Xenopus tropicalis: one gene and its partners. The protein of the gene in region 2 purifies or fractionates together with the protein of the main gene of each other region. This does not show direct contact. Links are inferred from orthologs where the notes say so. Each region holds a gene or a part of one and is shown on either strand. Other genes may lie near its edges.

What was found.
Region 1: the proteins of prpf8 (region 2) and sf3b3 fractionate together in Homo sapiens (co-fractionation; 4 studies listed by BioGRID, with this or other methods). This does not show direct contact. The link is inferred for Xenopus tropicalis from reciprocal best matches to the Homo sapiens genes PRPF8 and SF3B3.
Region 3: the proteins of prpf8 (region 2) and ruvbl2 purify together in Homo sapiens (affinity purification with mass spectrometry; 3 studies listed by BioGRID and IntAct, with this or other methods). This does not show direct contact. The link is inferred for Xenopus tropicalis from reciprocal best matches to the Homo sapiens genes PRPF8 and RUVBL2.

The regions. Positions count from the first base shown.
Region 1 is NC_030680.2:75,050,950-75,058,388, reverse strand, and holds part of sf3b3 (splicing factor 3B subunit 3), read right to left. Parts: intron 5,045-7,439; coding exon 4,893-5,044; intron 4,728-4,892; coding exon 4,572-4,727; intron 4,449-4,571; coding exon 4,293-4,448; intron 4,165-4,292; coding exon 4,021-4,164; intron 3,070-4,020; coding exon 2,947-3,069; intron 2,852-2,946; coding exon 2,697-2,851; intron 1-2,696. UniProt on the Homo sapiens protein: Component of the 17S U2 SnRNP complex of the spliceosome, a large ribonucleoprotein complex that removes introns from transcribed pre-mRNAs.
Region 2 is NC_030678.2:45,522,139-45,529,577, forward strand, and holds part of prpf8 (pre-mRNA-processing-splicing factor 8), read left to right. Parts: intron 1-154; 5' UTR 155-165; coding exon 166-265; intron 266-787; coding exon 788-956; intron 957-1,265; coding exon 1,266-1,430; intron 1,431-1,922; coding exon 1,923-2,141; intron 2,142-2,268; coding exon 2,269-2,481; intron 2,482-2,565; coding exon 2,566-2,691; intron 2,692-3,524; coding exon 3,525-3,630; intron 3,631-3,726; coding exon 3,727-3,917; intron 3,918-4,717; coding exon 4,718-4,837; intron 4,838-4,917; coding exon 4,918-5,107; intron 5,108-5,777; coding exon 5,778-5,897; intron 5,898-6,001; coding exon 6,002-6,136; intron 6,137-6,214; coding exon 6,215-6,344; intron 6,345-6,592; coding exon 6,593-6,789; intron 6,790-6,926; coding exon 6,927-7,133; intron 7,134-7,210; coding exon 7,211-7,374; intron 7,375-7,439. UniProt on the Homo sapiens protein: Plays a role in pre-mRNA splicing as core component of precatalytic, catalytic and postcatalytic spliceosomal complexes, both of the predominant U2-type spliceosome and the minor U12-type spliceosome.
Region 3 is NC_030683.2:113,414,873-113,422,411, forward strand, and holds the start of ruvbl2 (ruvB-like 2), read right to left. Parts: upstream 5,008-7,539; 5' UTR 4,812-5,007; coding exon of another isoform or gene 4,763-4,811; intron 3,775-4,762; coding exon of another isoform or gene 3,719-3,774; intron 1,350-3,718; coding exon of another isoform or gene 1,338-1,349; coding exon 1,208-1,337; intron 577-1,207; coding exon 447-576; intron 309-446; coding exon 242-308; intron 1-241. UniProt on the Homo sapiens protein: Possesses single-stranded DNA-stimulated ATPase and ATP-dependent DNA helicase (5' to 3') activity; hexamerization is thought to be critical for ATP hydrolysis and adjacent subunits in the ring-like structure contribute to the ATPase activity.

The DNA of each region.
Region 1 (7,439 bases), on a different chromosome or scaffold from region 2:
ATGAGAGAGTTCAATCCTATCGGGTTTATTTAATGTTAATTGATTTTTTTTAGTAGACTAAGGGGCTGATTTATCAAAGTCCAAATTTCGGACTTTGAAAAGTATGTTTAAGAAAAAATTGTATCGCATCCTGGTCGTACGAAAATATTGTGGGGCGATTCGAAAGTTCCAAAATTTTCGTATCCAAACAATCGTAAAAGGTGCGAAAAACTTTGAACCTCAGTGCATGTTTTTGGAAGCCTCCCATGCCTCTCAATGGCACTCTGCAGCTCCAACCTGGCCAAAGGAGTCATGATACCAAAGCTTGAATGAATCTGAAACTTTTGTACTCGTTATGACAAATACAATTTTGTCTCACAAATTGTTGCAAAGTACGAAAAAGTAGCGGAAATTAATGAAAATTTTGCAGAAAACACGCAGAAAAAGTCAGAAAAAATAAAAATCTCTTCCATTCGGACTAATTCGTACTTTGATAAATGTGCCCCTTAATGTATAAAAGATCCAAATTGCTAGTTCTGACTACTACTAAGTGAGGGGTAGTTTACCCCTCTTTTTTTCACTTTTATTGTTTTCTAAAACATTTTTCTAATATTTACATTTAAAGTTTCATTTTTCACCTTCTGTCCCGCTTGGAGCAGATTTGTGACAAGGGGTCACTACAGTAAATGGTTATAATTAATACATTTCTTTAATGCCCAAGCTACCTAACAAAAAAAAAACCCCTTATACAATATGATCAGGCAAAAATAAAAAAAACTTAGCATGTCTTCTTTGATCAAAATTTTCCTCCAAAACTTGTAGCTAAAGCCCTCATTGGGACCCAATTTCAGGCATCTGTCCAAATGTAACTTGCCCTGCCCTAATAAAAAAATCTGTATTTTCCAGTTAAAAAGACACCACCTGTGGAACATCCTCCACGATAAAGTCCACCAGCCTTAACGAAAGTTCTTTCCAAGATTATTTATATCAGTGCTGTCCAACTTCTGTTGTACCGAGGGCCGGAATTTTTCCGCCTACGTGGTGGAGGGCCAATAATGGAAGCCAGTTTTGACCACTCCCCTTTTTGAAACTGCACCCACTTGAAACCACCCCCATGTTATCACATGATCATACCCATATTAATGGTTGTAGTACAGCAAAAACCTGCCATACTCTGCCTTCCCTACCCTGCCTGTGTGCCATACTCTGCCTGCCCTACCCTGCCTTTGTGTGTGCTATACTCTGCCTGCCCTACCCTGCCTGTGTGTGCCATACTCTGCCTTCCCTACCCTGCCTGTGTGTGCCATACTCTGCCTGCCCTACCCTGCCTGCGTGCCATACTTTCACTGTGTGTGCCATTCTTGGCTGGTTTGTGCCATACTTGGCCTGTGTGTGCCATACTCTGCCTGCCCTACCCTGCCTGTGTGTGCCATACTCTGCCTTCCCTACCCTGCCTGTGTGTGCCATACTCTGCCTTCCCTACCCTGCCTGCGTGTGCCATACTTTCACTGTGTGTGCCATTCTTGGCTGGTTTGTGCCAAACTTGGCCTGTGTGTGCCATACTCTGCCTGCCCTACTCTGCCTGTGTGTGCCATACTCTGCTTGCCCTATGCTGCCTGTGTGTATGGCACACACAGGCAGCCTACAGTGACACAATGCTGGCACTGCTCCTACAGTCTGCACAATAACTATATATTAAAAAACTTTTTAATTGCAGTACCACCTCAGTATATGTTCTTTTTGTAGTATGCAGGGATTATTTGTGGGTTTGCCTGAGGTGTGAACACTGCAGGGGGTGAACAATGCATACATTAAAAGGTGTTAACAGTACAGGGGATTACATATTTAAACAATACAGCCTGAATCTGAGGTGAGAACCATGCAGGGGGGGGGCAGTTAATCACAGTACTGATACCATTTAAAGCTTACACAAGAGTAAGCCATCAAAGCAGCCAGACAGGTGGGGGGCCACACAGAGGGGGGTCCGCGGGCCGCCAGTTGGACAGCACTGATTTATATCATTGGCCAATTATTTCCAACAGTGATTGTTTATTAATAAACAAGAAAAGCAGTATTAATATTTTTCTTCAAAAAACAAAGGATTATTCAACAAGTTGTGGTTATTATCCTTTATTATACCTTCTGCCCGATTTCAAACAGTTTCTAAAAACGGTGCAGAAACCCTCAAAATTGTGTTCGGCAGACAATAACCCCCCCATGATGATGTCAGTGACACCTAGGGGCACATTTACTAATCCACGAACGTCCGAAAGCGCCCGAATGAGTTTTTTTCGTAATGGTCGGTAGTTTTGCGACTTTTTCGTCACCGTCATGATTTTTTCGTATTTTGCACGACTTTTTCGTATATTTTCTGCAACTTTTTCGTTGCCGTTGCGACAAATTCAGATTGGTTTTTCGCCGTTTACGAAAAAATTGCGACGGAAAAAAGTTGCGCAAAATACAATAAAGTCGTGACCGCGAGAAAAAAAAGTTGCGCAAAATACAAAAACCCTGCGACAGCGACGAAAAAAAAAAAAAACGCTAAATTTTCGTTTCCAATCCAATTTTTTCCCATTCGGGATTTGGATTTGAGGATTAGTAAATGTGCCCCCTAGTGTTGACGTAATCATGCATGCCCCTTTGTCCAGGTTTAATACCAGGCAAAGGTGAAAATCCTAGAAGAAGCACAAAATAAAACCTGGTTTACTCCCACCTACCTCAGTGTGTTTGTAGAAATAGCAACAATTCCTTCAGGACACTGTTCAGATGCAAACCCAGAAGCATACTCCAGGGTCTCATAAGAAAGTGGGGTGAGGTGGAAGCGTGACTGATAAGAATAGCTCAACCAGGAACGACTTGACATGGCCAGGACCTGTAAGCAGGCATGATAAGGTTTGATACTGAACAAACATCGTATACAGAAAACAAAAATGTTTAAAAATGGAGAAATAGGGAAAAGAAACTTACCGCCTCCTGTCCCTGCATTCTAACTCTGAAGAGCTTGACAGGTCGAGACCCAAGATATCGAGTTCGGGTATCAGAAAGATCACCAGTAACTGGGTCTAAGACTGTTCTAAGCAATACACCATTCTATAAAAGAGAAAACAAAAAGAAAAATGTAGGACCTCTTTAGGGCTTCTCTGTAATACAAGAACGGAGCTATAAACAGCGATACTGACACAAAAATGTAGTCCTCAAAATAATGTTGTATATCAACAGTTAGCTATAGGTTATATTGATTGTTTTCTGCCTAGATGTCTGCTTTATTTAGTAATCGACACCTTAACATCCAAAACATGACTGTTTTGAAAACCCAAATGGTACTTCTCAACCTGTCAGTTAGTTATTCTCTTCACGGATATCAAAGGAAGCTGGGCGGATCTTTTTTTCCTTTACTTCTTGGCAGTCTCTGCATCTCACACTGCTCATATAAAAAAAAGAACTATGCAAACTAGTCCTCCAGCAATTCATTACTTTAAAGAAATGCTCTCTACCTTACAGATAAAAAGCATATACACATATGCAGCTTTCTTCCTTACAAGGCAGACACGGGACAGCTTATAATCACCTCACATAAAACTCCACCCTGGATGTTTAGGAGTTCAAAGGCTATTAGAGCAAATATGCTCAAGTGAACACAAATGCCTCATTCCTGGATGCTTCACTATCCACATCTGTACTATAGCATTCAGCATTCAAAAGTTTAATTAGACAGCGTTTGTATGTGATATGCAACTCCAGATTCCAACTGGCTAGATTTTCCAACTAAAATCTGTTTCCAAACAGATTACTGCTGCCCAAATATGGCAGCCCCCTCAGAGAGAAACATACGAGATCAGAAAAATATAAAAGTGATAGCCATATAGGCTGAAATTAAAGAGAGGATACAAAGATAAAACAATATTTAATTAAAAAAAGCATCATTTCTGGTGTCAGTTATGCTTTAAGACATTTACTTGCCATTCAAGAGCAACTCCACAGTGGTCCTAATCACTGGAAGTAGTAGTATATACTAAAATAATTATAAAACAATTAACCTACCTGAAGTCCTATATTAAGATAAAGGAACCCAATAGAACCACGTTCTCCCAGCTCATCCTGTCTTTCTGCACCACCCATCTCTACAATACACAGGGCCTCTGGCTGTGCGGGCAATGCCTGCATACTAAGTGGCTGCAGACAATCCTGAAGAAAAATTAAAATGGATTTTGTTAGACATAACCAGGCAGCACACAAAACATAACATTGTCTTTAAGACTATATCTGATGCAGCCTGCTTACTACACAAGACGATAATTCTCAATGGCACCTACCGAAGGGTCGAGACTGATAATACGAACAGTGTTATCGACAAGCCCTACAGCTAAGAATCGGGAACGCTGTTCTCCAGGGGGTACGTTAGCCAGGCTCATGCATACCACATCAGCTGACATTTCTTTTCTTTCAGTGTACTCATTTAACTGCCCAGACTGAATGAGAAGGAACAAAAAAAAAAAAAACACAGCAGGTCATAAAAACACAAATTAGCATAAATTCTTAGAAATGTTTATGAGACAGGGTCCCAAATGGTTCCCCGTTAAACCTCCACTTACAGGATCCATCTCAAAGTACACCAGCTCTCCTCCAGTCAGAGCAATCACTACCTGACGCTGATTTACAGCACATTTCACAATGATCTTTTTGCCTGGTGTTTTCCACTCGTTTACTCTCTTGTCTGCACGTATGTGTCTGATGCCATCAGGGTACACCTAGAAAATAAATTAAATAGTTTCTCATATTTGACTAGCAATCACCTTCAGAACTACTCTGCTCCCTTAGATTCGAACGTGGTAAGCATATGACTTAAATTCGTATTTATGCACAGTCATTCTGAATATTTATACATATTCAGGCATTTCAATGGCATAATGTACCTGTACCAAGGCATCTTCACCAAGCAGGGAGCAGGAGAGAGTTGGAGTAGTCCCAAGAAAACCAGAATCTGTCACTTCTTCTACGGTTTCACCAATGGAGAGTACCAAAGTGGCATTCACGAACGATACAATGATATAAGCATCATATTCATCTGTAATAAGACAGGACAACAGAAACCAGTTAAAGTATCTATACAAAATCAAGAGCTTCAGAACACCTTTCTGGTAAGTCCCCAAATTGCATAAAATCACAAATCAAGCCACTTTTATCACATATCTTTGAATATAAAATCAGTCTGTCATAAGAACCCTTTAACAAGTCATATGTCCGCCCAATTAAACAAAATAATAAACAGCTAAAACCCAATTATACATTTGCTCACACAGAAACGTAACAGAGAAACACCAGTCAAAGACTATATAAACAAATCATAACTGCAAAACTTGCAATTCCTTACCTAACAAATTACAGTTTAGGTAGAAAGCACAAATGTGTTGTCTATCCAAGATATGTTAAAGGCAATTTTATTCGGACATTATAATAATAATAACATTTTGCACTAAAAGGGGAAACTGTCATAACTGATTACCACCAATATAGTTTCCCTAACAATGTAAAAATGCAATCTACATATTAATTTAGAAGAAAGTGTGATGCCACACAGACAAAACACATGGTTTCAAGGTAAATGCCCAAGATAGAATAAGTGACCATGGCAGCTCCCTAACATATGCAAATTAGTAATTACATACCCTACGAAGGAGCACACACACACACACACACACACACGTCAATATCTAGGTCAGCATTCACTTATCCAGGTGAAAGCTCCTCTGGGTGTAGTCCATGCTTGTATGGAAAGGCCCAGCACTGTAAAAATCCCCAGAAGGTGATTTGAGAACAAACCTAACATTTCAACCAGCAGGATTTAAACATTAAACAGATGAATATGGCCTCAAGATAAAACAAAGTGACTGCTCTCACACATGTAAAAAATCAAATTAAATGCGTACAATATCCCCTGCCCTTATTTCCTTATATTTTACTGCATAAACCAGTTAAACTATTGGATTCTAAACATGCATGCTGCCTTTCATCACAAGTGTGCCTTTAGTGTTTGGGGTATACCCATTTGATTAAATGTACTACAAAGTCTCAAAAGCTCACTTTTGTTTTTAATCTAGGGATCTACGAATTCAGTAAGAATTGAGGCAAGATCCCACATAGCGGATTGTCCACTTTCCTTTGCCTGCAGATCAGTGTTCATGCTCCCTAACATATGCTCATAAAGCTCACTGCTTTCGCTCAATTGACAGGCTTAGGCCTCGGCCTGTGTGGAGCTACACAGAGTGGTGATCAGCCTGAAAATGCATGCTTCTGTGATTTTTGGGCTGATCTCGATTCGTGTACCTCCACAAAGGCTGAACCAAGGCCTGTGATGAGTGAGTGCCTGAAAGGGCATTTGCTTTCCTGCAACTGTACAAAGCAAATCAGAATCTTATAGGCGTTACATTTAACGAATAAAACATAAGGCATCTAATGTTGAAGGATAGATAGGTAATGGACACAATATTCTGAGTCAAACAATCCAAACGCACAGGCAATATTGTTCTTTAGGAAACTCCAAACACTTTCTTTTGTCTCTCTGGAGTGTCTTTAGCATACAGAACTACATTTCCACCCAGGTAACATTAGATTACTAGACGCCTTTAGCTCATAGGCAAAGTTCCATTTTAAATGTATTACAAAAATAAAAAAAACTTTAGGAAATTATCATTTATTATTTCTTAAATGTTGTGGCTTCACAGACAGCTACAGTTGCTAGACTTCAGAACCAATTATTAAAGGGTCTGATAAATATCAGATCTTGAATAGGGATGCAACGAATTCAGGATTTGATTTGGTATTTGGCTTTTTTTTGGAAGGATTCGGATTTGGCTGAATCCATGGTCCTGGGTGAACCGAATCCAAAATATCACATGACTTTTTGTCATGTTAACACGGAAGTGAAAAACTTTTCACCACCATTAGGATTCGGTTCGGTATTCGGCCGAATCCCTCACGGTGGATTCGGCGGAACCCGAAAAACTGGATTTGGTGCATCCCTAATCTTGAATTGATTTCTGATTTCTGATAAAAATGGGTCTGTCCTAAAAGCAGTTTGATTATGACAATGTCTGTAACTCTGTTTCAGCAAACTACTGTAACTGTTGTAAAAGGATGCTGCTCACCATTTGCTCAATCTCATTCCTAGACAAAATATCCATTAGTGCGTGTGCTAAACTTATCTTTGAAACAGAATATACAGCTGAGTGTATATACAAAGTGTTCGGCTTTAGACCCTAGCTATTTCATGAAGCAACTTTCCTATTGCAGAATGTAATGTGAGATGTAGCACAAGCCAATTTAATGGAGAACTAAGCCTTCATATCTCCACCCTCCAAGCACTCTTCCTTTATTACAACTGAAAAGTGTACAGTGAACCTGCTAAAAATAAGCAGCAGAGTTCACAGGCGCCATCTTCTTCCTCTTCCATGTATGAGCAA
Region 2 (7,439 bases):
TACACAAGTTCACTGCCTGCTTAATGCTGTACACTAGCCTAAAGTAAGGGAGAAACATTTTCTCTTTATGGTTGTGTTAAACATTTAATCATTCGTAACTTAAAAGCAATTTGATTAGATAAAATTAAGTGCTGCTATTTCTATTTTTTTCCAGTTTGAGACACCATGGCCGGGGTGTTTCCATATAGACCACAGGCACCGCCAATGCCCGGCCCCCCAGGTGGAACACCGGACTACATGTCTGAAGAGAAGCTGCAGGAAAAAGGTGCAACCTTCTTCAATTTGTTGTAAAAACCAAATGCTCTTTCAAAGTCCTTGCATACTTGGAGGGCTTCATGTGTCGTTGCTCAAAATGTAATTATTGATGAACTCGGCTGAATGTCACATACTAAACTAAATCTGACTAAAAGAATTGCATCTTCTGTGAACAAAAAATTGTTGCAGTATGCTTTATCATTTTAAAGTTGTGTGAGTGTTCAGTTTAGCTGAATGTTGGGTAACAGTAGTACAAATATATTAAAGAGGGAAGAAGGTTTTTTCTTTTTTAAATTTTGAGGATAAGTTAAGTACATACTGAGAAATTAAGCTTGAAATATCTTTGCTTGCTGATCATAGTAAAGAAACCACCTTTCTTTTTTGCCCAATTTTCTTAATTATGCAGGATTATGTTTGCGTTTTTGCTTCATGTTTAACACCAGTATGGTAGTAAATTGGATAGCTTATTCATGTCATATTTTTTTTAAACTGTATAGTTGTCTCATCCATGTTTCACTTATTTTGATTCCAGCACGAAAATGGCAGCAGCTACAGGCAAAACGCTATTCAGAGAAAAGAAAATTTGGGTTTGTGGATGCACAGAAAGAAGATATGCCTCCAGAACATGTTCGCAAAATTATTCGTGATCATGGAGACATGACCAACAGAAAGTTCCGACATGATAAGAGAGTTTACCTTGGGTGAGAGAATTAATTTCGGCAACATACCAGCAAGGCACTAACCTAAGCTGACAGACAGTAGTCCAGTGTAAATTAAAAAAAAAAAAGCCTGCAGAAGCAAGGTGCAGTTGTTTAGCAGGTAAAACAAGCAAAACTCAGTGGAGTGTAAGGATTGGAGTATTGCAGTACCACATTAACTAAACATAAATTGCCTTTGCACATTTTTTTAAATTGTAATAGTTAACCTCATGCTGTGATTTTATTTAACATTTTAAATTTCCAAAGTTCTGTTTTATGGTTAAGTGTATCCTGGTTTGTTTTTGTTTGTAGAGCATTGAAGTATATGCCACATGCTGTCTTAAAGTTACTTGAAAACATGCCCATGCCTTGGGAGCAGATCCGTGATGTCCCTGTGCTGTATCATATAACAGGAGCCATCTCATTTGTTAATGAGATTCCATGGGTCATTGAGCCTGTCTACATAGCACAGTGGGGGTAAGTGCATCTTGTAATAATATGGTAAATTAAACAGCTCTGTGTGCCAGTAGCCTGTGCAGGGCTAACAACATTAATTGATAATAAGCTTATGATCAAAATGCATTAAAAAGATAAAGCACAATCTAATTAAAAATCCTGTGCATTTATTAAGAGAGTTACTGCCATAGGTTTACATTGATGTTTCACAACATATTTGGTTAATTGGAAATGTTTTGTGATTTTAGTTCATGTAGATACAGTGCAAAAGTCTAACTTCCTAATGCAGTGCTAAGTGAAACATGCTGGGATTTTGGTGTTTTGTATCCTAGAAAATAGTGCAACTGATGCAATTACAGCCTGGCATATTGGGTCCTGAGAATAGCACTGCCTCAGTTTTATTGTCAGTAGTCATTTAAGTTTAATGTCCCTAAACCCTTTCTTTAAAAACAATCTCATATATGAATCCATATTCCTATTGACTTTGTATTTTCTATCACAATAATTTACCAGGTCAATGTGGATTATGATGAGGCGAGAAAAAAGAGACAGACGGCACTTCAAGAGGATGAGGTTTCCTCCATTTGATGATGAGGAGCCTCCACTGGATTATGCTGACAATATCCTTGATGTTGAACCCCTGGAAGCCATTCAGCTTGAACTGGACCCAGAGGAAGATGCTCCAGTCACTGACTGGTTCTATGATCACCAGCCCTTAAGAGACAACAGAAAGTAATGCTAGTTACTTACTCTATTGGTTTTTGTATCTGTAGACATAATGCTCATTTCTCCTTGTATTGGCTAATTTTGTCAAATAGTTTCCAAGCCATGTTTTATTTGTAATGCCTTTCATTTTCAGGTATGTGAATGGTACTACTTATCAGCGGTGGCAGTTTACACTTCCGATGATGTCTACATTATATCGATTGGCTAATCAGCTTCTGACTGACCTGGTTGATGATAACTACTTCTACCTGTTTGACCTAAAGGCATTCTTTACCTCCAAAGCATTAAACATGGCTATTCCTGGAGGGCCAAAATTTGAGCCTCTTGTTCGTGACATTAACCTGCAGTAAGTGATGTTGCTGTGATGTTTGTTTTTAGTACATTTCCTGGTGCAAGCAGATAAAATTGATTGATTTCTCTTTTTATACAGGGATGAAGATTGGAATGAGTTTAATGATATTAACAAGATAATTATCCGACAGCCAATTCGAACAGAATACAAGATTGCTTTTCCTTACCTGTACAACAATCTTCCTCACCATGTACATTTAACCTGGTAAATTGTTTTAATTTTTTTTTTTGTTTGTTGCTTTTTTTTATGCCTTACCTGTTAAACTAACTGTGTAAATGTCTTTTTTAGGGCTTTTCATTACTTCTATAAAGCTGTTTTAATTCATTTGTCTAACTCCGTATTAACTTGTAATTTGCTCTTGGAAAGGGTTAGCTTGAGTTTTCTGAATTTGTAAATTATGCGTAGGGCAGTAAATAAGCACTTTAGGATTGTTCTGTGAAGCTGTATTAAAGGAGACATATCATATAAAAATTAAGAATGTACCAGTGAATTATACTCCTCTAAATATTGAAGGATTGTGCTTAAAGTTGTCTCGGACTGGTTTATTGAGAAATTCCACCAAAACCCCACTAGTTTCGTCCATCTGTTCCACTTCCTGCTGGCTGAATTCTCTGGATGAGCTGGGGAGCTGGCAGCCCTCAGCACACTGCACTGTAGGATAGGAACCAATCAGCAGCTAGGCTGACCTCATAGGGAACTGAAGCCTGTCTGTGCTTGTGTGAGTGCAGGGCTCTGATTGGCTCTCCCCCCTCCTACTGTGCTTCTGGCAGGGAATTTTAGGACACGCCCACTCTTTATTTCACACTGGACGGAGAAGTGATACGATCTATAGGGAGCTTCAATAAAGGGGCAATTTTTACAGATAGGATTAACTTTTAGCCCAAAGTGATACCAGCACTGTATATTATTCATAATTGCCTACAATATTAGGGTTTTTTCCATTCATCCAATATGTCCTTTAACTTTTATGATTTACTTTTTGCAAAAGAGGAGAGAAGCTATTCGTGCCATGCTAATTGTTATGTTTTCATTCACAGGTATCACACACCAAATGTGGTTTTTATCAAAACTGAGGATCCTGATTTACCAGCATTCTATTTTGACCCACTGATTAATCCCATATCACACAGGCATTCTGTAAAGGTGAGAAATTCTAGAGTAAAGATAATTGGATACATTTTATGTAGGTTGGAAGTTATTCAAGGTTGTTGGTTTTCATTTTGCTTGCTTTCGTTATAGAGCCAAGAGCCATTGCCAGATGATGATGAGGAATTTGAATTGCCAGAATATGTTGAACCATTCCTTAAAGACACTCCTCTGTATTCAGATAACACCGCTAATGGAATTGCTTTACTTTGGGCTCCTCGTCCTTTCAACTTGCGTTCTGGTAGGACCAGGAGGGCTATTGATATTCCTCTTGTGAAAAACTGGTGAGCAAACTTTCATTCAGACTTCAGGTTTTATTGCAGTAGCTTGATATTTATTACTTTTCCTACAATGTTAACCTAGTTCCGTCAGAAAAAGTTTTGTGCAGGACAATTTATATAAAAGGTGCTTGATATTTAATTTTTAAAAATTTTACACTTAATATTCCTGCTGTTGGCAGTTCAGTGGATTTTTTTTTTTTTTTGAAGAGCCCATTGTGGCTAAAAATGTTTGTCTGCCAGGTAACCAGCTGCTGTTAAAGAGGAGGAAAACTCCGAAAACTTGCATATTTGTCTTTATTGCTGTACCTTTTACTAACTTTTTTTTTTTTGATTTAGTAAATTGAAAGAAAAGCTATACAATGCTGTTATGGTCTCTTGCTCAGGGCCTTTAACGAAACTGACTGTGACACAGTACTTTCCATTGTCGAAGAACAGGAACAGCACCTCTTGTCTTTTTATATGAAGATGTTGCAATAAAGGCATTTTAATTTAAAAAGACAAGAGGTCCTGTTCCTGTTCTTCGACATTTGGATATACCGATGGAAAGTGGCCATTGGGGAACCTGCACTGCCTCTAATTAACCACAAAGTTTGGTGCTGACTACTACTCTCCAAACAGTACTTTCCATTGTCAGCCTGTCCCAGAGTCATTTTGCCCCTGCAGATAGTCTTTAGATTATTGTTACAATATTATTTAAAGCTTGTTCAGAAATGAATAGGATCATTAAAATGGGATATTTGTGTTGACAGCATGTTTTCAGTGTTTAAGTAACTGACCAGTAAGAATATTCCTTTCATTCTCAGGTACAGAGAGCATTGTCCTGCTGGCCAGCCAGTAAAAGTCAGAGTATCTTACCAGAAATTGCTGAAGTACTATGTGCTAAATGCTTTGAAACACAGGCCTCCAAAAGCTCAGAAGAAAAGGTAAGCAAATTAAGTTACAATGCATGTAATCTGAAGTCTTGTAGTCTACTTTCTGCTAAATGATTATAATCCTTTTGCAGGTATCTCTTCCGTTCATTTAAAGCCACAAAATTCTTTCAGTCGACAAAGTTGGACTGGGTGGAAGTAGGCCTGCAGGTTTGCCGCCAAGGCTATAACATGCTGAACTTGCTGATTCACAGAAAGAACCTTAACTATCTTCATCTGGATTACAATTTCAATTTGAAGCCAGTAAAAACGCTGACCACAAAGGTATGTCAATGATTCTTAAATTGTGGGAATTTTGAAATTGATTCTTATCCTTTAGTGGATTATTTGCTGTTACATTTATACAGTGCCTTTCAAGAGTTTAGACCCTGGCCTGGACCTATTCTTACCTTAATGACAAACAAGCAAATCCCGCACTGGCATTTTGCTCCTTGTGATATTCAAAGCAATGAAACTGTGTAGGATTTTAGCAGCAGGTTCTCTACTTGCCCTGCCTAGTAGCATAGTAGTCACTTTATTAATTTAGAAAAAAGGAATAAATAAAGAATTAACTAAGGGTTATGAGGTGTATGACTTTTGCAGTTTCTGATAATTATGCTGTCCAGTAAAGGGTTTATAGTTTGCTTGTACTACATAGTTTCTCATTGCTTTACTAATTTGGCTAGGGTTCATGGTGAGCTCTTGTGAGCATAACTTTATGATCCACCTATGAAGGCTTGGGTAACACCCACTCTGACAAGTAGATGCAAAACAGTAACATATGCCACTTATAAGCATTTTAATATGAATACACTTTTTTTTTTTTAAGGTGGTTCATTAAAATCTATGATCTTAGTAGGGTAAAAACATGACTAACAGTTTTTGAAGAAGAATAGTTGGCAGAGAAAAGGGGTTAGTTTTCCTTTTAAAAAAGGAGCTTAACTTTGTATTATAGGAACGCAAAAAGTCTCGGTTCGGCAATGCCTTCCATCTTTGCCGCGAGGTCCTGCGTCTAACCAAACTAGTTGTGGACAGCCATGTGCAATACAGACTGGGGAATGTTGATGCTTTCCAGGTAAGTGTTGGCTTGCAATGTGGATTCTTAACTAATTTGCTCCAGTTGAAAGCAAATAAGATCTGAAACAGTACTGAAAAATCTAAATTTTTCTTACTTTTCAGTTGGCAGACGGATTACAGTATATTTTTGCCCATGTGGGGCAGCTGACTGGAATGTACCGTTACAAGTACAAACTAATGAGACAAATTCGCATGTGCAAGGACCTGAAGCATCTGATCTACTACAGGTTCAATACAGTGAGTATTTGCTCTTATAGTCTTACTTAGAATCGCTTTTCTTTTATGGTTTTTAACTGTATGTGACTGTCTCTGCAGGGTCCAGTTGGAAAGGGGCCTGGCTGTGGATTTTGGGCAGCAGGCTGGAGAGTCTGGCTCTTTTTTATGCGTGGTATCACACCTTTGCTGGAAAGGTGGCTTGGAAATCTGCTTGCTAGACAATTTGAAGGTGAGCTATTCTGCTCTTTCTAGAATGGTTTTTATGTGTCCAACATTTTGCTGCTGACTTTTTTTGAATGACCCTGATTGCTTTTAATGCAGTGGATGTTTATTTTTTTAAGGATACCCTCTAATTAAGGAGACTCAATTTATTGGTTCCCCTTGGAGCTTCTGGAATAGTGCACATCTGTAGCGAGTTATCACAGGAGGCTTTCATTTGTGGAGCTCTTACGGTCTCTTTAACCTTTTTCATATCAGGTCGCCATTCCAAAGGAGTTGCGAAAACTGTGACAAAACAGCGAGTGGAGTCTCACTTTGACTTGGAGCTCAGAGCTGCTGTTATGCATGACATATTGGACATGATGCCAGAGGGAATCAAGCAGAACAAAGCCAGAACCATCTTGCAGCACTTGAGTGAAGCTTGGAGATGCTGGAAAGCTAACATTCCCTGGAAGGTGAGAATTCCCCCAATCTCATTTGCCAGGATGCATTTGTTGGCATAATTGCTACTTAGTGACATGTTGCCCTCTATGCAACCTTTGATGTCCACTGTCTGTAGATGTTCAGTAGAATCATTTTTTGCAAATTTTAGGTACCAGGTCTTCCAACACCCATTGAAAACATGATTCTGCGATATGTAAAGGCCAAAGCGGACTGGTGGACAAATACTGCGCATTACAACAGAGAACGTATTAGACGTGGTGCCACTGTCGACAAAACTGTGTGTAAGAAGAATCTGGGCCGTCTGACTCGTTTGTACTTGAAAGCAGAACAAGAGAGACAGCACAACTACCTGAAGGTACATTTTGTTTTCTCTTTTCAAATTGGGCTGATATTTGTGCAGTTTGCTTCACCACAAATTGTCTGTTTTTAAAGGATGGGCCTTACATTACTGCAGAGGAGGCAGTTGCTGTGTACACTACCACTGTCCACTGGCTAGAGAGTAGGAGGTTTTCTCCAATTCCTTTTCCTCCTCTTTCCTACAAACATGATACAAAACTACTCATTCTAGCACTTGAGAGACTGAAAGAAGCATACAGGTATGATTACTGCCTTGCCATATAGCATTCACTTTTTCCCTTGTGTAAGCTACCTTTCTGCCTTT
Region 3 (7,539 bases), on a different chromosome or scaffold from region 2:
TGCTTTATTAGCACACAAATAACAGTACTACCATTTCTTGAATATTTCATAAGAAATAAAGCATGCCTTTGTACAACATCATCTTACCAGTATGGAAGTAAATCACCCATTTCAACTTTCCTCTAAACTATACTAAGCCTATATTTTTCCAGTCCATACTCTTCTAAAAAGTATAAAAACAATATGAAGGGAAAAAAATATGCTGTTTTCAGTGCAACCTAATTTTTGCACAATTACTTACTGTCCCAGTGGCAGGTCTATCAATCTGAACCTCAACAACTTCCCCTTCAATGATTTCTGTTTCTTCCCTAGAAAAGAATGATGAGATTTAAAAACCTAGCCTGAGCGTTGAAGTCTATCATTGAATGGACTCCATTCACAAACAGACTGACAGAGTATTTTGGGAATGAAGCCGAGTCTTCACCATCAGCAGACTGAAAACTTACTTAATCCTCACACCGATGGACCGCCGGAAAGCTTGCGTTAGAGCTTCTGTTTTGCTCATTTCCAGTGAAAAAATCTCACTGCCAGCAATGGCTGTAAAAGGTGTGTCTGAGCCCAAAGCTTGAGCCATACCTGTATTAAACACAAATGATCAGAATTAATATAAAGTAATAACATTAAAGATTAAAAAGCCTGGAAACACTACAATGGGTTATTGTAACCACAATTACACAGAAAGGATGAGGTTATTCTTTTAAAGGCTATGACGCATGGCATTTGCACCTGCAATAATGTGTGGTGGATTTATGCGTTTCACCACATGGAAATGCAGGGGTTAATTGACCCGTGTCTTCTATATGGGGAATGGGGTCTAATCTCTGCACTGGTTTGAAGTCTGCCTACCCTCTGCTCCTTGGTCTGTGGCATGTTTGATAATATTATTGACTGAATTTAGGTAACTGGTCAGTGTCACGGCTCCTTGTGTGAATGTAGAAATGTCACTAAAATATATCCATGTATTTGTAACGATCTTACATCAAACAAACAAACATACGGATATAATACATAAAACTCATTAACAGATTGTTAAATCAATACATCTTCAGTTGCTTACTGGCATCATATGTAATTTACATCATATGAATCATTTTAACTTTAAATGTATACTAAAAAGAAGACGGGCAATGCCCCCCCATTCCTGGCATTTCATAATATTAATACTTAAAGTAGCATACCTTACAATAATAGAAACAAAAATATTTACCCATAGCAATGGCTGTTTTCCCTGTGCCCGGCTGTCCAGCGATGAGCACTGCTCGCCCAGCAATTTTACCTTCCTTGATCATCTCCAGAATAACACCTGCTGCCCGCCTGGCTGCCAGCTGTCCCACCATGCCCTGCGATACCTACACAAATACATAAGAATAGCTTTCTGTGCTCCATTGTGTACACAGCCTATTAAAGTCTCTAAGCTTGTCTTTCTTAAACTGGGATTAAATATATAAGCACCAAGCAAGAGGTTTTCTATTCCTAAATAATGTACCTGCACTTCTATTCACATTGTTTATAAGGAACTTCGATAAATGAACATATTACTAAGAGGCATTCTTAAGCCAGATCCCCCAAATATTTGAATGCACTGAACAGTTGGTGACCATATGTAGTGTCAATAATAAAGATAAAATCTGCTTCAGGAAAGAAGCATGGAGGTAACAAGCTGAATGATGTTATCAAGCACCTGCGTGTTTGTGAATTTAGTGGATGTAGAGGGCTGTCAGCTGCACACTGCAAAAGACAATTTAAGTGGACTTCATCCAAACACAACTTAAGCTTTTTGAAAAGAAAACATAATGCCAAGCAACTTTGCAATATACATTCCAAACCATATTACATAGATATACAGTGGTGTGAAAAACTATTTGCCCCCTTCCTGATTTCTTATTCTTTTGCATGTTTGTCACGCTTAAATGTTTCTGCTCATCAAAAACCGTTAACTATTAGTCAAAGATAACATAATTGAACACAAAATGCAGTTTTTAAATGAAGGTTTACGTTATTAAGGGAGAAAAAAAACTCCAAATCTACATGGCCCTGTGTGAAAAAGTGATTGCCCCCCTTGTTAAAAAATAACTTAACTGTGGTTTATCAATTCAATGTTCAATTTCTGTAGTCACCCCCAGGCCTGATTACTGCCACACCTGTTTAGATCAAGAAATCACTTAAATAGGAGCTACCTGACACAGAGAAGTAGACTAAAAGCACCTCAAAAGCTAGACATCATGCCAAGATCCAAAGAAATTCAGGAACAAATGAGAACAAAAGTAATTGAGATCTATCAGTCTGGTAAAGGTTATAAAGCCATTTCTAAAGCTTTGGGACTCCAGCGAACCACAGTGAGAGCCATTATCCACAAATGGCAAAAACATGGAACAGTGGTGAACCTTCCCAGGAGTGGCCGGCCGACCAAAATTACCCCAAGAGCGCAGAGACAACTCATCCGAGAGGCCACAAAAGACCCCAGGACAACATCTAAAGAACTGCAGGCCTCACTTGCCTCAATTAAGGTCAGTGTTCACGACTCCACCATAAGAAAGAGACTGGGCAAAAACGGCCTGCATGGCAGATTTCCAAGGCGCAAACCACTTTTAAGCAAAAAGAACATTATGGCTCGTCTCAATTTTGCTAAAAAACATCTCAATGATTGCCAAGACTTTTGGGAAAATACCTTGTGGACCGACGAGACAAAAGTTGAACTTTTTGGAAGGTGCGTGTCCCGTTACATCTGGCGTAAAAGTAACACAGCATTTCAGAAAAAGAACATCATACCAACAGTAAAATATGGTGGTGGTAGTGTGATGGTCTGGGGTTGTTTTGCTGCTTCAGGACCTGGAAGGCTTGCTGTGATAGATGGAACCATGAATTCTACTGTCTACCAAAAAATCCTGAAGGAGAATGTCCGGCCATCTGTTCTTCAACTCAAGCTGAAGCGATCTTGGGTGCTGCAGCAGGACAATGACCCAAAACACACCAGCAAATCCACCTCTGAATGGCTGAAGAAAAACAAAATGAAGACTTTGGAGTGGCCTAGTCAAAGTCCTGACCTGAATCCTATTGAGATGTTGTGGCATGACCTTAAAAAGGCGGTTCATGCTAGAAAACCCTCAAATAAAGCTGAATTACAACAATTCTGCAAAGATGAGTGGGCCAAAATTCCTCCAGAGCGCTGTAAAAGACTCGTTGCAAGTTATCGCAAACGCTTGATTGCAGTTATTGCTGCTAAGGGTGGCCCAACCAGTTATTAGGTTCAGGGGGCAATTACTTTTTCACACAGGGCCATGTAGGTTTGGATTTTTTTTCTCCCTAAATAATAAAAACCCTCATTTAAAAACTGCATTTTGTGTTTACTTGTGTTATCTTTGACTAATAGTTAACGGTTTTTGATGAGCAGAAACATTTAAGCGTGACAAACATGCAAAAGAATAAGAAATCAGGAAGGGGGCAAATAGTTTTTCACACCACTGTATGTAATATGGTTTAGAACAGTTCCCTTAGCCCTGCCCCCTGTTCTCCTGCTGATCTGGCTGACAAGCCTGCCTTCAGCCAGCATACTCCAAATCCCACAATTCCCTGCACATATGATGTTAAATTTACTTTTAGAAGGAAGGACAGATCGACACGTATCCAATCTGCCACTTGCTTGTCTAACGCTAACCAGTGTCATTATAAGCAAAAATTCATAACCATTCATATTATAGTATTAGAGCGCTTTCAGTACCTGACGGGGTTCCAACGCATCGTCAAGGCCAAGCCCTCTGATGTGAGAATGTGCGCCTGGCAAAGAGAGACAAATGTTAGACTATATACACAAAAATAAGCAGTTAATAGGTAGGAAACACAAAACACAGACTAATTTTAATGTGTTGGATATCTTTTGTATTAATCTATACATACCCAGACTACCTCATACAATTAATATGCACTGTTACACGTGCTAATGCTAGGATGCCAAATGCAGAAAAATAAATGTTTTACAGCTGGATTTCAGCATATAAAATGGTATTTATTCATACTTTTTAATGGAACAGATTACAGGGATAGGTATATTAGGGGTTTCTGTGTTGTGTGGGGCTCTTTAACTAATTTTGGCTTGGAAGCCGCTGTTTGATTTAATGGATATGGAGGTGAATATATATTGTCTTAAGCGAGTTAGAGAAAAACATAAACAGACACTGCTTTCATTTGCAATTACATGTACAAATTGTTTCCTTGAAATATTTTATTATTTGGATATTTGTTAAGCAATATATATGTTTTATTTTATCATATATAGTATATATATATGTTATCAAAATAATCTGGCACAGAGCCAACAGCTTGACCAAAGTGTAGGAAAAAAGGCACTGTGGGCATTCCTTATTAGCAACATATTTCTTACTTTAAACAGGCAAAAAATTATGCTCAGCACTCAAAATTTTTGAAAAGGGGTGTATAATGCGCGTTTAAAATTGTTGTTGCAATTAGATAAATAAAATTAAACACATTTGGCTTGAAAGTAAATGAAAATAGTGATGGAACTTTGTGATGCTAATGCCTGGGATTGCAGCAAAGTTACAACCCTCTGTAGCTATTTATCACCAAGGAGACTGTTTGTTGATTAAACTGCACTGCTGCCCATGGAAACAAAAAGTGTCACGATGCAATGGAGGTGAATACATGAGTTCTAAAATATTCAGTTATTTGAATAGGAGGGCTACATGGGAACCACATCATGTTTAGCAGGTTATTTTTGTGTTTATTTTTGTAGTATTTTTACACTCACCAATCCTCTCAATCCGGGTGACATCTCGCACCTCTGGCACCTTGGTTGTCTATGAGACATAAATAACCATGAATATTGATCACGGTTTCCTTTAGACATCAATGCATGAAATACTAATTACAACTCAGCAGCAAAATAAATGCAGGAGACATTGGCTTATAAAGATTCACCAATGTTTTCTACAGAATGTGAGATTACCTCTTGAGAATTCCAAATGTATTTGCCCCACCCCTGCATGTTGTGAGCTGAACATTGTTTTTTGTCCACCTCATGCCCATTTAGCCCTACCTTTATATAAGAACAACTGCAAACTGCCTCGGCCTATGCCTGTCATTACCATCCTAACAGTCTGCCCTAAGGATCTTCCCCGTTAACAAACGGTTTCCTAGTAACAAATCAAGGTTGTTTGCAAAGCAAATTCTCCAACAATAGGATACGGGATGGTAAGAACCAAGGCAAACTGTCCTGCTATAGGATACCCAAAACACACGGGTAATTCATGGAACTGGAGTCATTTTACTCTTATAGTACTCAAGAGCAACTACATACACCCCTGTCACACCAGGCAACACAAGCCATCTGACAGGGAGTATGATGTGAAATAACAGCTCAAGCAGGTGAGCAGTTTATCTAATTGAAAGGATTTACTAACATTTGCACTAAAAATCTGCCTTATTCTGGACAATTCGTAACCAGGAAGCTGTTTTTTTTTTTTTTTTGGTCATACAAAAAAAGATGGGCTAAACTGGCAGACTGTCTATCCAGGAACAAGCAAAACAAAGCTACTGAGACTAACACCGTGTTAAATAATTCATCCCCAGAGGCCCAGAATATTCAGCATACCTCTGCCACTACACCACAAGCAACCCCCCTAGCTACTGCATGGCTATATCCAAGGATGATGGAAAGGCTGGAGGAAAGCATCTTTGGTCTACATTGCATTCAACTATAGAGTAATTAATTTGCTTACCATGAACCAACACTACTGCTCCATATAAAAGTGGCCATACACACCAACACATTTCACAGAGGGGGGAATTTACAAACAGATGCATGCCCTACGGTGATGCAGAACCCCATGGCAACCATAGTTCAGCTTTTTGCAGTCAACTGAGCAGAATGCTATGGAGTAAATGTTTCAGTTCTGGTGAGGCTGGCTGCACTAAGAGGCCTGAATATACTGCATAGAAACAAGAGCTCTTTTTCACTTTCCAATAATGATAAAGGAATGAAATCTTACGCCATGTAACTACAAACCTGAACCTATGCATAGCCACAGGAAAAGTATCTCATATCTGTTATAGGCTGTTTCTCTGGAGCTAGTGTGTAGATCTGGGTTACTCTTTTATATGCAGTGCCCCCTATACCCCATTTGGCCTGGTCAGGTTCCTGCTGCCTCTCCCTGGGCACTATATGTTGACTAACATAGAGCAAAACTGTCCTGATGAAGTAACCTATGGCAACCAATGAAATACAAATGTTTGCTGTAAAGAGGAAAAATACACATACATTTGTGGTGGGGTGCCATATTGTTAGCAGTGTTGGGCTGGGTGCCCGGGGCCCCCACTACACTCACCTACATTTACTTAGCCACAAACATAGAGGAAAGGCAGCAGGGTTGCAGCAGCACTTACAGGTATCGGGTCTGGGTCGGCGGGGCCCCCCGGGTTTTTTTCCCCAGTGTCTCACAGCCCAGTCCGACCATGACAGCCATGATACCAGTCACTAACCTACAGCCTCAGTGGTACCTAGAAGAAAGCAGGGAGGCAGCAACAAGGTGCTTTACATTAAATAGAATGGAGCACCAGCCTGGGAAAGGAGGCCAGAGATTAGAGAAGGTGTGGCTGCCACATTCTAGCAATTTTAGGTTTAGTTGTCATTTAACTATTCTTCCTGCGAGTGGCTAAACAAAGCTGCCCAGTTGCTATTGGTTACTGCCCAGGTGCAAACGAGCTCAGTAAATAAGCCCCACTCAATAAGAAAAGGATGTGCTGTGTTAGCCCAATGAGGAAGCAGTACCAGAGCAGCTCAGGGGCCGCTACTAGGCACACACCAGAAGCCATGCCTTAGACTAAACATACCATATAGGATAACAGGGGGATAACATGGCGCCTTTAAGGTAGAATATTACCAAGGAAGGCCGAGCGCCTCAACAGCGTCTCAGCTATTTAAACACATTAACCCTAAAAAATCCCAAGTACCTTACCGCCATGGTTGCCATGCTGCACTATCACTCCAACCGCCAGAGAACAGCTGGTGCGACTGTCTAAAGACTCCGGCGTGGAAACAACTTCCCTCCTCAAGCGTTCCGAGCCCTGAGCAGCCAGCGGCTCCTCCCACTGAGAGAATAGTTATCCAATAAGGGAGCGCTATACACCTCACGCAACGACTTGGCGCAGGTGTGTGAGTAAAGGAATTCTGGGAATTGTAGTTAAATAGAGTGATTGAGTTCTCTGCTGCCTTTTCTGAAGAACCAATTTTACATGGCGGGGTTATCAGGGCTTTGGGGCGGGATGTCGTTTCTGAAGGGATTGGTTGCTAGGTTACTGCGTTTGTACGCGTTCAGAATATTTTGCGAGGTTGTGGTATAACGTTCTAATAGAGCAGGGGTCCCCAACCTTTCTTACCTGTGAGCCACAGTCAAATGTAAAAAGACTTGGGGAGCAACACAAGCACCAAAAAGGAGCCAAATAAGGGCTGTGATTGGCTATTAGGGGCCTCTATGCACCCTATCAGCTTACAGGGGCTTTATTTGGTAGGAAATCTTGTTTTTATTC